Macaca mulatta: one gene and its partners. The protein of the gene in region 3 purifies or fractionates together with the protein of the main gene of each other region. This does not show direct contact. Links are inferred from orthologs where the notes say so. Each region holds a gene or a part of one and is shown on either strand. Other genes may lie near its edges. The genes, in order: DAAM1, RAP1GDS1 and RHOC.

Evidence for each region.
Region 1: the proteins of RHOC (region 3) and DAAM1 purify together in Homo sapiens (affinity purification with mass spectrometry; 3 studies listed by BioGRID and IntAct, counting the BioPlex papers as one, with this or other methods). This does not show direct contact. The link is inferred for Macaca mulatta from reciprocal best matches to the Homo sapiens genes RHOC and DAAM1.
Region 2: the proteins of RHOC (region 3) and RAP1GDS1 purify together in Homo sapiens (co-immunoprecipitation; 3 studies listed by BioGRID and IntAct, counting the BioPlex papers as one, with this or other methods). This does not show direct contact. The link is inferred for Macaca mulatta from reciprocal best matches to the Homo sapiens genes RHOC and RAP1GDS1.

The regions. Positions count from the first base shown.
Region 1 is NC_133412.1:132,485,385-132,489,031, reverse strand, and holds part of DAAM1 (disheveled-associated activator of morphogenesis 1), read right to left. Parts: intron 1,540-3,647; coding exon 1,369-1,539; intron 306-1,368; coding exon 96-305; 3' UTR 1-95. UniProt on the Homo sapiens protein: Binds to disheveled (Dvl) and Rho, and mediates Wnt-induced Dvl-Rho complex formation. May play a role as a scaffolding protein to recruit Rho-GDP and Rho-GEF, thereby enhancing Rho-GTP formation. Can direct nucleation and elongation of new actin filaments.
Region 2 is NC_133410.1:107,712,723-107,716,369, forward strand, and holds part of RAP1GDS1 (rap1 GTPase-GDP dissociation stimulator 1), read left to right. Parts: intron 1-156; coding exon 157-282; intron 283-1,373; coding exon 1,374-1,513; intron 1,514-3,647. UniProt on the Homo sapiens protein: Acts as a GEF (guanine nucleotide exchange factor) for the Rho family of small GTP-binding proteins (G proteins) that stimulates the dissociation of GDP to enable subsequent binding of GTP.
Region 3 is NC_133406.1:127,552,465-127,556,710, forward strand, and holds the start of RHOC (rho-related GTP-binding protein RhoC), read left to right. Parts: upstream 1-1,332; 5' UTR 1,333-1,382; intron 1,383-3,142; exon of another isoform or gene 3,143-3,373; intron 3,374-4,246. UniProt on the Homo sapiens protein: Regulates a signal transduction pathway linking plasma membrane receptors to the assembly of focal adhesions and actin stress fibers.

The DNA of each region.
Region 1 (3,647 bases), on a different chromosome or scaffold from region 3:
TGCCACTGTTTGGATTGCAAGGCAGTGTAATGAAACGTTCTAGTCACTTTAGAGGGCCGCTAATGAGCTTTCTAAAATAAAGTATTCATGGAAGATTAGAAATTAAGTTTTGTGATTGGTCTCTCTCTGCTGCTGTCAGTCATCTGGTTGGTAATGCGTTTGCGATTCCGTTTCAATTTAGAAAGGTCTTTGTCAAACACTTCTCCTGAGCGTAAAGCTGAAACAAGGTCATCAAACTCTCCGCTTTCTTCACTATTCTCTTTAGCTTTTCTCATTTTACGTTCCCTTTCACGTTGTTCTTTGAGCTGCAAATAGAAAGAAATAACCTCTTAGAAACATGTCAAAATGTTGCATTTTGTTTTCAGTAGAGATGAATTCTGTGAAATATGGTAATGCTCCAGACACCAAGCTGTGCTCATCCTATAACCCCTTTGGATATCACAAGAAAGGGTAATTGGAACATGGAGTCTCCATTGTGGAAGCAATGGACAACAACAAAAAATAACCACTGTCTTGTGGTTAGACCCTCACCACCTAGATTCTAGGTAAACTGCATGATATTCTAGTTAAAATAAGAGCAATTGAGGCAATTTGTGTTTTTGCTAACGAAAAAAAAAAAAAAGGTATCACTATTACATAGACCCCAAATAACTAAAGCAAATGGTCATCAGGCCATTTTCCTTATATCAAAGGCTTAGCTTGCATCTACTGTGGAAGCCTGAAACCTGATACACAACAGTTACTGTTATTAAAAGCCAACTAATACATGCACATTGTAGACAATTTGGATAATTCAGATAAAAGGAAGGTGGGGGAAGCATCTTTAATTCTACTACTGTGAACTTTTTAGAGGTTTATCTCACCACTATTATTTTCTATATGTATTAACATCTTAAGAAACAAAACAGAAAAAGATTTCATGTAGAAATCACTTTGTAAACTTTTCTGTATCATTACTCTTTAAATACATGTCTTTTAAGGACTGCGTAAATATACCATTATATAGTCGTTACATCATTTAGAACTCAAGCCCTATTGGTAAACATTTAGGTTGTCTTTAGCTTGGGGCTATTATAAAGAATGCTGCCCTTTTTTGTGTAAATTTATGATTATTTCTTTAAAATAAATGCCAAAAATTGGAATTCCAGAGCAAAGGATGTGGATAGATATATTTTTTTTAAGGCTTTGAAATACACTGTTAAATAGCCCAAGAGAAACAACACCAATTTAAAATCCCACAGAATTCTAGAGAGTACACTGAAGCCTTCCTTCCTGCCAGCAGGTCAGAGTGCTCTCTAAATACTTTTGACTGGGCTGCAGCCATAGGACTTCTAGGAGGTGGAATTGGTCAATTAATCATCCTCTCACCTGAGCTTCCATGCGAGCTCGACGTTCTTCTTCCTCCTTTTTCTTTCTCATATTTTCATTTTCTTGCTTGGCTTCTGAAACAGCTTGAAGAAACTGATCAAAAATGCCAAAGAACTCATCTGGTTGTATTTTGCCAGCCTCTTCCCCAAAGTGCTTCACTGCTTTAGTGAACTAGAAAAAAGAGGGTTTTAAGAAGTCAATGTTTCATGAGAATTCCATAATCAAATACAAATAACTTTAGAAAGACTAAAGCCCAGATTGAGTCAAGCATAAGTTTTGTTTGCTCATTTATTTTTATTTATTAATTTTTTTTGGAGATGGTGTTTCGCCATCACCCAGGCTGGAGTGCAGTGGCATGATCCCAGCTCACTGCAACCTCTGCCTCTCGGGTTCAAGTGATTCTCCAGCCTCAACCTCCCAAGTAGCTGGGATTACAGGCACATACCACCATGCTTAGCTAATTTTTGTAGTTTTAGTAGAGTAGGGGTTTTACCATGTTGGCCAGGCTGGTCTCAAACTCCTAACCTCAGGTGATCCACCCACCTTGGCCTCCCAAAGTGCTGGGATTACAGGCGTGAGCCACCATACCTGGCAGTTTTTCTTGTTTTGTTTTTGTTTTTAAGAGATGGGGTCTTACATGTTGCCCAGGCTGGAATGCATATGTTATTGGTTTTTTTTTCCCCCCCCCAAATTTATGGAGTCTTACATATTACCCAGGCTGGAGTTTAGTGGCTATTCAAAGGTATGATCACAGCAAACTACAGCCTCAAACTCCTGGGCAATCTTTCCCCTTAAGCCTCACAAGTAGCTGGGACTATAGGCATGTGCCACTGCACCCGGCTAAGTCAAACATAACTGATGGATTCTAGCGAGCCTATATTTATCTTCAGCTGCTGAACATGTCTATTAATCATTTCTAAGTAAAAATTTTAATACTCCTTAGCTTTTGAAACCATTTATTCCTGTCTACCTCAGTTGAGCTTAACATGTATGATGACCTCCTATGACTTTTTATTAACTAAACAGTAGTAAAAACAAAATATTGTAGAGCACAGCACCCCAGACATAAAACTAACAGCAAACTCGGCAGGGGGAGGGAAACTTGTACTTTTAACTTTTCTTTGAAGTAGTTTAAAATCATTTACTAGTGCCATATGGTCAACATAGAAAGCAAATGGGAGCCAGTGCCTCTTAGCTGCTTTTCCCAATCATAAATAATGCTGCTATTGTTGGGATATTTTCAGGGTCTCAATGAGAAAACAGTAACTGAGTATGGAATCTTTAATGCAACCCAGTGTATGACTGAGAATACAATTTTATTCCAAATTCTTTGTTTTAGAACCCCTTTCAATGCCAATCTTTTTTTAAAAAGTTTTTTAAAAAAAGATATGGGGTATTGCAATGTTACATTGCCCAGGCTGGACTCAAACTCCTAGGCACAAGTGATCCTCCTGCCACAGCCTCCTGAGTAGCTGGGACTATGGGTACATGCAACATGCCCCAGTGTCAATCTTTTCAAATGGCCAAAATGCAACATACCAAGGAAGAAATTTATGAAGTTAGATAAAAATATATGTATACAGTAACAATAGTATATCCAGTCTTGTTTTAGTTCTTCCAGAGGTTATCTTCATAACTCAAGGCAGTATGTATTTCAATAGTCTTAGCATTACAACTACCCAAATAATATTCAATGTCAAATTGTTTGTTAAAATTATACTTCCTTCTGTAAGGATCTAATGCTATTACTCCTAAGCTACTAAGGATAGTGTTCCTAGCTTCAAAGTCAAATACATTTTTCCCCATGACCAATCAACTACTTAACATTTTCCAGATTTTAAGTTTTCTTCATATTTAGACCACGCTGTGTTTATGCAGTGCCCCCAAACAGTTTATAATTGGTTTTATTTTTATTGCTTTGTCTTTGTTACACTGTTAGGTTCTTCTGATACTTCAGTGATACTATCTACCTAAAATATTTTCAACATTTATTTTTAAATAAAACAAGTTTTGGCTTATATTTATATATATTTTATAATTACTGTATCTTTAAATTTGTAATAAAAGTGTCCTTTTTACCATTTCTGTCTTCACTGAGGAGTTTTCAATGTTTTACTTATTTGGAAATACTCTATTAGAAAAGAGTTCTTCGGGCAAAAACATAACATTCTTCAGACACCATATATAGTGCTCTAGCTTGCTCCATGGTTTTATATGCTAATTTATAAAAGTTCTGGTATGAACAAAATAGCAATAGACAGTCTACAACCGGATTTCTA
Region 2 (3,647 bases), on a different chromosome or scaffold from region 3:
TTCCATTCTTAAAATTGACAAAAAAGTGACAGAATTGTTTCTAAATGGAAAAATATAACATGGATCTTAAAGACACTCAATAAACCTGTATTGAATTGAATGTTTATCAACAGGAATGCTAATACCATTTTAACCATAGTCTCTCTTTTTCTACAGTTATAAATAAAGCAAAGATGTTATCAGCTGGGGTCACAGAGACAGTTTTAAAATTTCTTAAATCTGAAATGCCCCCTGTTCAGTTCAAACTTCTGGGAACATTAAGAATGTTAATAGATGCACAAGGTAAAAGAAATGTTTTCCCCAACTTGCATTTTTGGTATGATAGTCTTAATGTGCTTCTAGTTGAAAAAAGACTTGTTTCTCGCTTTCAGGATTATGTAATCATAAAAAATAGCAAATAAAAGATTAAAAAATTAGTTTTGGAACTCCATTTGTTAATTTTTGTGCTTGTTATAATTGACTATTTATTTATTTATAACTATTATTTATTTATTTTTGAGACAGAGTCTTGTTCTGTCACCCAGGCTGGAGTGCAGTGGTGTGACTTCAGCTCACCGCAACTTCCACCTCCTGGGTTCAAGCAATTTTCCTGCCTCAGCCTCCTGAGTGGCTAGGATTACAGGCATGCTCCACATCTCCTGGCTAATTGTTTTTGGAATTTCACTAGAGATGGGGCTTGTTGCCCAGGCTGCTCTTGAACTCCTGGCCTCAAGCGATCCTCGCACTTCAGCCTCCCAAAGTGCTGGGATTACAGGTGTGAGCCACCACGCCCAGCCTATTATTGACTTTAAGTAGAAATTATACCATATCTCTCCTTATTAATTCTTATAATCCTGGTTTTAGTTTGCTTTATTATCAATTTCGGGGGAGGGCGTTGTGTTTTGGCATTCTATACCCATTTTCACCTTGGCTTTGAAATCAAATTTCATTATTGTGACAGTCAAAAATCTTAAAAATTTGTCTTGTGGCAGGGAGAGCATTTTTCTATTTGCAGAAACAGCAGTCAGAACCACTCCTAGGAATGAATTATGTTTATTTACTTATTTCTAAATTCTAAAGCCTTTTCTATATTGATTGCATAGAGTCCTTCTAAGAACCCTGCATTATAGTCTGCCAGAGCACTAACAGACTAGCAGGCTTAACCAAAAGAGTATGAAATCATTTGTTTTTGTATTTTCTATAAAATTTCACAATGTTACAGAAAAAGGCAAATAGCCCATCACATAAGGAATATTTGCAGTTCTAGCTTTAATGAAATTGTTGTGCTGTGTTTTTTTAGATGTATTTCTCCTTCACACTCTTAAATCTTTACGAATTACTTCAGCTGATTGTCTGTTAGTGATTCATTCCTTGGTTTGCCTTCTTTCCTATAGCAGAAGCTGCTGAACAACTGGGAAAGAATGTTAAGTTAGTGGAGCGTTTGGTGGAATGGTGTGAAGCCAAAGATCATGCTGGTGTGATGGGGGAGTCAAACAGACTGCTGTCTGCCCTTATACGACACAGTAAATCAAAAGTAAGTTCCAGAGGAAACTGTTCACTAGAAAACTTCAGAGCGTCTTTTTCAGAAACCCAGCATTGTAGGTCCTAACAACTGGGATAATATTTACCTGAAAGTATTGTGAAGATTCAGTGAGATCATGTGTATAATGTGCTTAGCTGGTACATGGGATATAGGAAACACTCAGTAAATGGGGGTTGCTGTTGCTGCTGCTATTGTTGTTATTACTTTTACCACCACCATTACCAGCATTAGTGTCAAACATTTCTTTGTGCCAGGCATTGACCATGCAGGCTACTGATATTTAGAATTTAGAAATTAAATGATATCTAGATAGTATATGATGTCCAGAGCTCACAGAGTTAGAAAAAAATCCATTCTTGTGACTGTGCAGCTTTCTGGCACATGGTAGATAACCAATAAATGAACAGATGAGCTGTTTCAAAGATCACAATAGTGAGTACCCAGGCCAGCAGTTCAGCAGCTGATTTAGTATCTAGATTATATGATTTTTAAATTTTTTAAATACTGTTTTTTTCTTTTCTTTCTTTTTTTTTGAGACTGAGTCTTGCTCTGTCGCCCAGGCTAGAGTGCAGTGGTACAACCTCGGCTCACTGCAACCTCTACCTCCCAGGTTCAAGCAATTCTCCTGCCTCAGCCTCCAGAGTAGCAGGGATTACAGGCAGGCGCCACCACCCTCAGCTAATTTTTGTATTTTTAGTAGAGATGGGGTTTTACCATGTTGGCCAGGCTGGCCTCGAACTCCTGACCTCATGATCCGCCTGCCTCGGCTTCCCAAAGTGCTGGGATTACAGGCATGAGCCATCATGCCCAGCCTTTAATACTGTTTTCTAAGGTGACCCTTTCAGTCATTTCTCTTGTACAACTTCAGTAGTGATTATATATGAGGAGAAAGTTTAGAACTCAAACCCACCAGCTGTTTTCATTTATTTTTAGAACAGATAAGAAGATGCCAAGAGAAAAAGCATAAAACTAAAACTGTTCTTGACTTGTATAAATCTCTTTCATATAAATAATTCACTTCACCATAATAGCCATCCCAGCTGGTTAGCCTCAGGAGTGTTCTTCTCCATCAGATGCTAAATCTTGAGAACTTTCCCTGGGGAAAAGCAGCTGTTAACTAGGACCTTCCTATTACCTGTCTCACCCAGACCACCCTAAAATCTTATACATTTTCCCTGACACAGGACCAAGTAGTATGTTGGCAAAGCGAAAGTTATCAAGAGAGAATAGCAAAATGGCTTCGTTGGTACCCCTTTCACCCCTTCTCCATCATAACTGTTCTCTCATGCCCATTTGTTCATTTAACAGTTAATATTTGAGTTCTTGCAGTGTAAATACTACAAAATAGTGTTTCTATAAAGGAATTAACTATCTATTGAGGGGACAGACATAAAAACAGCTAGCTTAAGTACAGCATTAAAGCTACATATGCTATTCGGATGTAACAGAGGAAAGAAAGACTAACACACTGTCTGAGTGGTCTGGGATGGTGTCATAGAAGGAGTGCTATTTTAGGGGCTAACTAGGAATCTCTCAGGAGGAAAGGGAAAGAGAATGAAGGAAAGGGCCTTTTCAGGCAAAGACGACAGGATGTACAAAAAGTACAGAGATGTAAAACAGCATAATTTTAGAAGGAAACTGCAAATAAAGCAGCATTGCTAGAACATAGAGTGTGGAGAGAGACAGTGGCCAGAGAGGTTGAAAACTGGGAATTAAGTGAATTATATGCCAAGTTAAGGTGTATGGACTTGATTCTGTAGAGAATTCTGGAGCACTTAAAGGATTTTAAGCAGCAAGTTGCCATTATTTGGGTTTTTGTTTATTCGGGGTTTTTTTGAGACAGAGTTTCACTCTTGTTGCTCGGGCTGGAGTGCAATGGCACGATCTCCACTCACTGCAACCTCCTCCTCCTGGATTCAAGCAGTCCTCCTGCCTCAGCCTCTTGAGTAGCTGGGATCACAGGCATACACCACCATGCTCGGCTAATTTTGTATTTTTAGTAGAGACAGAGTTTCTCCATTTTGGTCAGGCTGGTCTTGAACTCCTAACCTGAGGAGATCCGCCCACCTCAGCCTTCCAGAGTGCTGGGATTACAGGTGTGAGCCACCACACCCAGCCATTTAGT
Region 3 (4,246 bases):
TATGTGGACCCAGGTCCATGTAATATGGATTCAATAAATGTTAGCCATCTTGAAATTGTCTGCATTCCTCATTTAGACTCTTAAGTTGTTTGAAGGCAGAAATGGATCTTCCAAACATAGCTCTCAGTTCACCCTCAAGAAATGTTTACTGAGCCAGTTAAGAGGCCTGGGGTCAAACTGCTGTGGACCTCAGTTTTCACATTTGTCAAATGTCTGGATTGCACTTCAGATAAAGTCTGTATGACTCCTAACATTCATTCATTCATCAAATATTTGTTGGCAACCTATTACGTGCCACTCACTGTGCTAGACAACGGGGGAAGGGACAGGCTGGAGGAGCCTGGGAAGTAGCAGGGCCAGACCACCAGTTTGGAGCCAGACAGGCCCGGCTTTGTGAATTCTTGCTGTCACAAGTCAAAAACATTTGTGTAAGCCACTTGATTTCTCTGAGCCTCAGCTTCCCTATGGGCAAAAAGGGATGGGTATATTTTCCCCAAAGATCTGTGATGAATATTGAAAGGGTTAAGCTGTGTAGTGTCCCAAGCACAAGCCAATGAAATGTTGGTGGACGTCCTCATTCTACTCCCACCTCCTCAGCTTCCTTACAGGAAAAGGAGATACGCGTGTAGGTAAGTATCCTATACACCAAGTCAGAACTAGAAGTGGGAACAGAATTCCCAGCTGGGATCCGGAAGCATTTCTAGGAGCACCCTTTGAGGAGTAGGTAGGAATTGGACTCCTGGAAATTCCAGGCCCAGGGAGGAAAGCGAATTGTGAGGAGGAACGCTGGTCTGGGTCTGAACGGCTCTGAGAGGTCTTCAAGTTTGGGGGATGACGTTGGGCTGTACGATCCTAGGAACAAGAGAGTGGACATCTCCCCCAACCAACACACCCACGCCGGGCCCTGGGACGTGCCGGGGGCTGCCCTTTCCCAGTCCCGCCTCCGGAGAGGTCCCAGGTGCAGCAAGAGCTGGTGGCTGATTGGCCACAGGAGGGCAGCAGCGGCCCTTCCTGACCCCACCCCGAGCACTCTTAACTTTCCCGACGCCGGTCCTCCCCTAGGGGCTGGAAGGTTGGGCAGAGTGAGTTCACCCAGGTAGTGCTGGCCCCGCTCGCCCGGCTCCTCCGCAGTCCCGGAATAACCCCGTGGCCCTCCCCTACCTGGCGGAGTGGACGCCCCCGGCCCCAGGCCTGCGGACCAGGGAAGCGGCGGCCGCCCTGCGCGGGGCCGGGGCGGGCCGAGCCAAGGGCCGCCCCCAGCCGACCCTCCCCCTGCCGGGCCCGCCCTCCCCGCCGCGGAGCTGGAGGAGGGCGGGGCGGGGCCCTGGGGTCAGTCTGAGCCTCAGGCACCGGCCGCGCAGCTGGAGGCGGCGGAACCGAAGGTACCCTGGGCCGGGGCTGCGGGCAGCGGGGCGTCTTGGGAACTCGTCCCCGGGAGAGCACTTTGCCTTCCTCTCTGGGCCGGAGATCGAGGCCCGTGCAGGGAGGGGGCTTCGGCCTGGGCTTGGACCCCGTTCCCTCCCTGCGGAGTCGGCATCCGGGCTGGGCGGGGGTCGGCCGCGTCGGCACCTCCCCGGGCTGCAGCGAGGGGGCCCGGACTTGCTGGCAGGGGCTCTCGCCTCCTGAGGTCCGAGTCGGAGCCCCTTCCCCTCTCCTTCCAGCTTCCTGGAACCTGCCCCGCCGGGTGAGGGGCGAGGGAGCCTCAACTCAGACGCTCCAGCCCCCAGGGCGGGCGGCCGCAGGGGACCTAGAGTGGGATGGGGTGGGAATTCCTCCAGGCCAGGAGGGAGGCATGGCGGGAATAGGGGCGGGATGTGACCATTGGGACCTGCCACTGTTCGGCAGGGTCTGGACGCCGCCCTAGACGGTTCCTGGAGCCCGCTTGTGTTGAGGATAAGGGAGATGGGGAAGGATCCAACTGTGTGTGTGTGTGTGTGTGTGTGTGTGTGTGTGTGTGTGTGTGTGTGTGTGTGTGTGTGTGTGTGTGTGTGTGTGTGTGTGTGTGTGTGTGTGTGTGTGTGTGTGTGTGTGTGTGTGTGTGTGTGTGTGTGTGTGTGTGTATCCTGGGGTTTTGGGGCTGGGATCCTGAGGCCGAGTCCCACCCTCACTCTGGTTTTAAAGTTGAGAATGAGGTATCTCCTGGTATCTCCAGAACGGATTCCTTCCCTAGGTGTAGGGTGGGTCAGCAAAGTCAACCGGCCGCTCTGGATCATCTGGGAATTCAAGAGAGCGGTTGGAGAGAGATCTGGTGTATCCACACTGTCTTGTCTTGGGGAAGGCCCCAGAAGTTCCAGGCTCCATTCCAGGACCTGTGTGGGGCTCAGTTGCCCCTCTTAAGGGGTCAGTGGGACAGTCCCTCTGGGGCTGCCTCCCATAGGGAGTTATCCATGCCATCTTGGCCTTGGGCCTAGTGTCCTGGCCTGGCCTGGGCTGCCTGCTGTTCCGGCCCAACCATAGCCTGGAGGGAAGGTCTTCTAATTGAGCTGGAGGCTCCAGGTCCCTTAACGCATGCCTCAACCCCAGGCTTCTGTCCTCTGCCTCTTTCCACTCTGGTGCCATCTGAATTACCCTGCTGGGGGGACAGCAGTGACATACTCATGCCTAAGTGACTGGCTTTCACCCCAGTAGTGATTGCCCTCCAACACTGCCCACCCCAGGGTGGGGCTACCCCAGCCCATCTTTACAAAACAGGGCAAGGTGAACTAATGGAGTGGGTGGAGGAGTTGGAAGAAATCCTAGCGTCAGTCACCTGGATAGAATTCCCGAGGAACCCTCTTTTTGGAGGGTGGTTTCCATTTCTGGAGGCTATCTGCCGGCAGGGTGAAAGCCTTCTTGCTTGTCTTCTGGGGAATCAGAGAGAGTCCATTTTCTGGTGGGAAGAGTGTGGCTGTGTACTTTGAACTCCTGTAAATTCTCTGACTCACGTCCACAAAACCGACAGTTTTGTGAATGTGTGTGGAGGCAAGGGAAGGGCCACCTAGGATCTGCTGTTGAAGGGAACAGGCCTGGGGCTGGAGGATTCGTTTCCTAAAGGGCAGTGTGAGGTGGTGGCGGGGTGTGGGGAGTAGAGGCCTTCAGTCAGCCCAGTTTGACAGGATGTGGGACTGAGAGAAAAAGCTAGGTTTGAAGCCGAGATCAGGTTACCGTCGCTTTCTTAACTGCTCCCTGCCTGGTTGGTGCTGGGACTGGCCCTCATTTGTCTCTTCTTTTGGGACTCCTCCCAACCCAGACTCTAGCCCCCTCCCCCTTCCCAACAGCCTTGACTTCATCTCAGCTCCAGAGCCCGCCCTCTCTTCCTGCAGCCTGGGAACTTCAGCCGGCTGGAGGCCGGTTCCCCTCCCCAGGGAAGGAGGAAGTGAGGGAAGCTGCGAAGGTGTGATGAACTGTGCAGATGCTCGCCGTGTGTGCTGGGGGTGGGGGACACTTGGAAGCCCGGGAAGCTGACTCCTTGCCCTGAGTCACAGGGAGGGGTGGGCAGGGCCTGTGGGTGAGCTGGACCAAGGGAGGAAGGGACTGTTCCAGAGTGGGTGGAGGTGATTCCCTGGTGGATTCTTCTCAGTCACTGTGCTGTGGTGGATGTGTGGCTCCCTACAGTGTGGTCATTGTCCCCTGCCAGGGGCTGAGTGACCCAGTGTTGCTGGCAGGCCCAGGAGGAAGGGGGGAGGAAGGCAGCCTGCCCAAACTCGAGCTGTGGGCACTGCTGGGACTGAGCCTCCTTTGTATGACTTGGGGCTTTGGGGACGGGGTGGGGTGGACCAGGGAAGCTGGCTGGCTGCTGCCCCTGTCCTCTGGGTTTCCCTGCTTCTGCTCTCCTTCCTACCGCTGAGGTGACATGTCGAAGAGGCACGGCTTTGAGTCACACAGTCCTGCTATGGATGCTATCCCTGCCGCTTATAAGCCACAGCTCTGAATCTGTCTTAACCTCATTGAGCCTTAGTTTCCTAGTTTGTCAAAATGGAAAGTACACCATCTACCTCCCAGGCATCTGGGGACCAAAGGAGATAATTCCTGCCAAAATGCCCGACAGAGTGCCTGGCACCTAGGGACTCTGTAACTATTCTTCCTTTACCCACCTACCACCTGGTAGCTGGTTCTGCTACTCTGGTCCTAGAGAGGGACTCCTTATTTGTGACTGGACAGGTATGACTTGTGCTGAGGGACAATCTGTTCTAGATTGGACCTTAGAGATTATTAAACTGTAAATGCATCAAAATCCTGGTAGCCAATGAAGTCTGACTTGAAACCC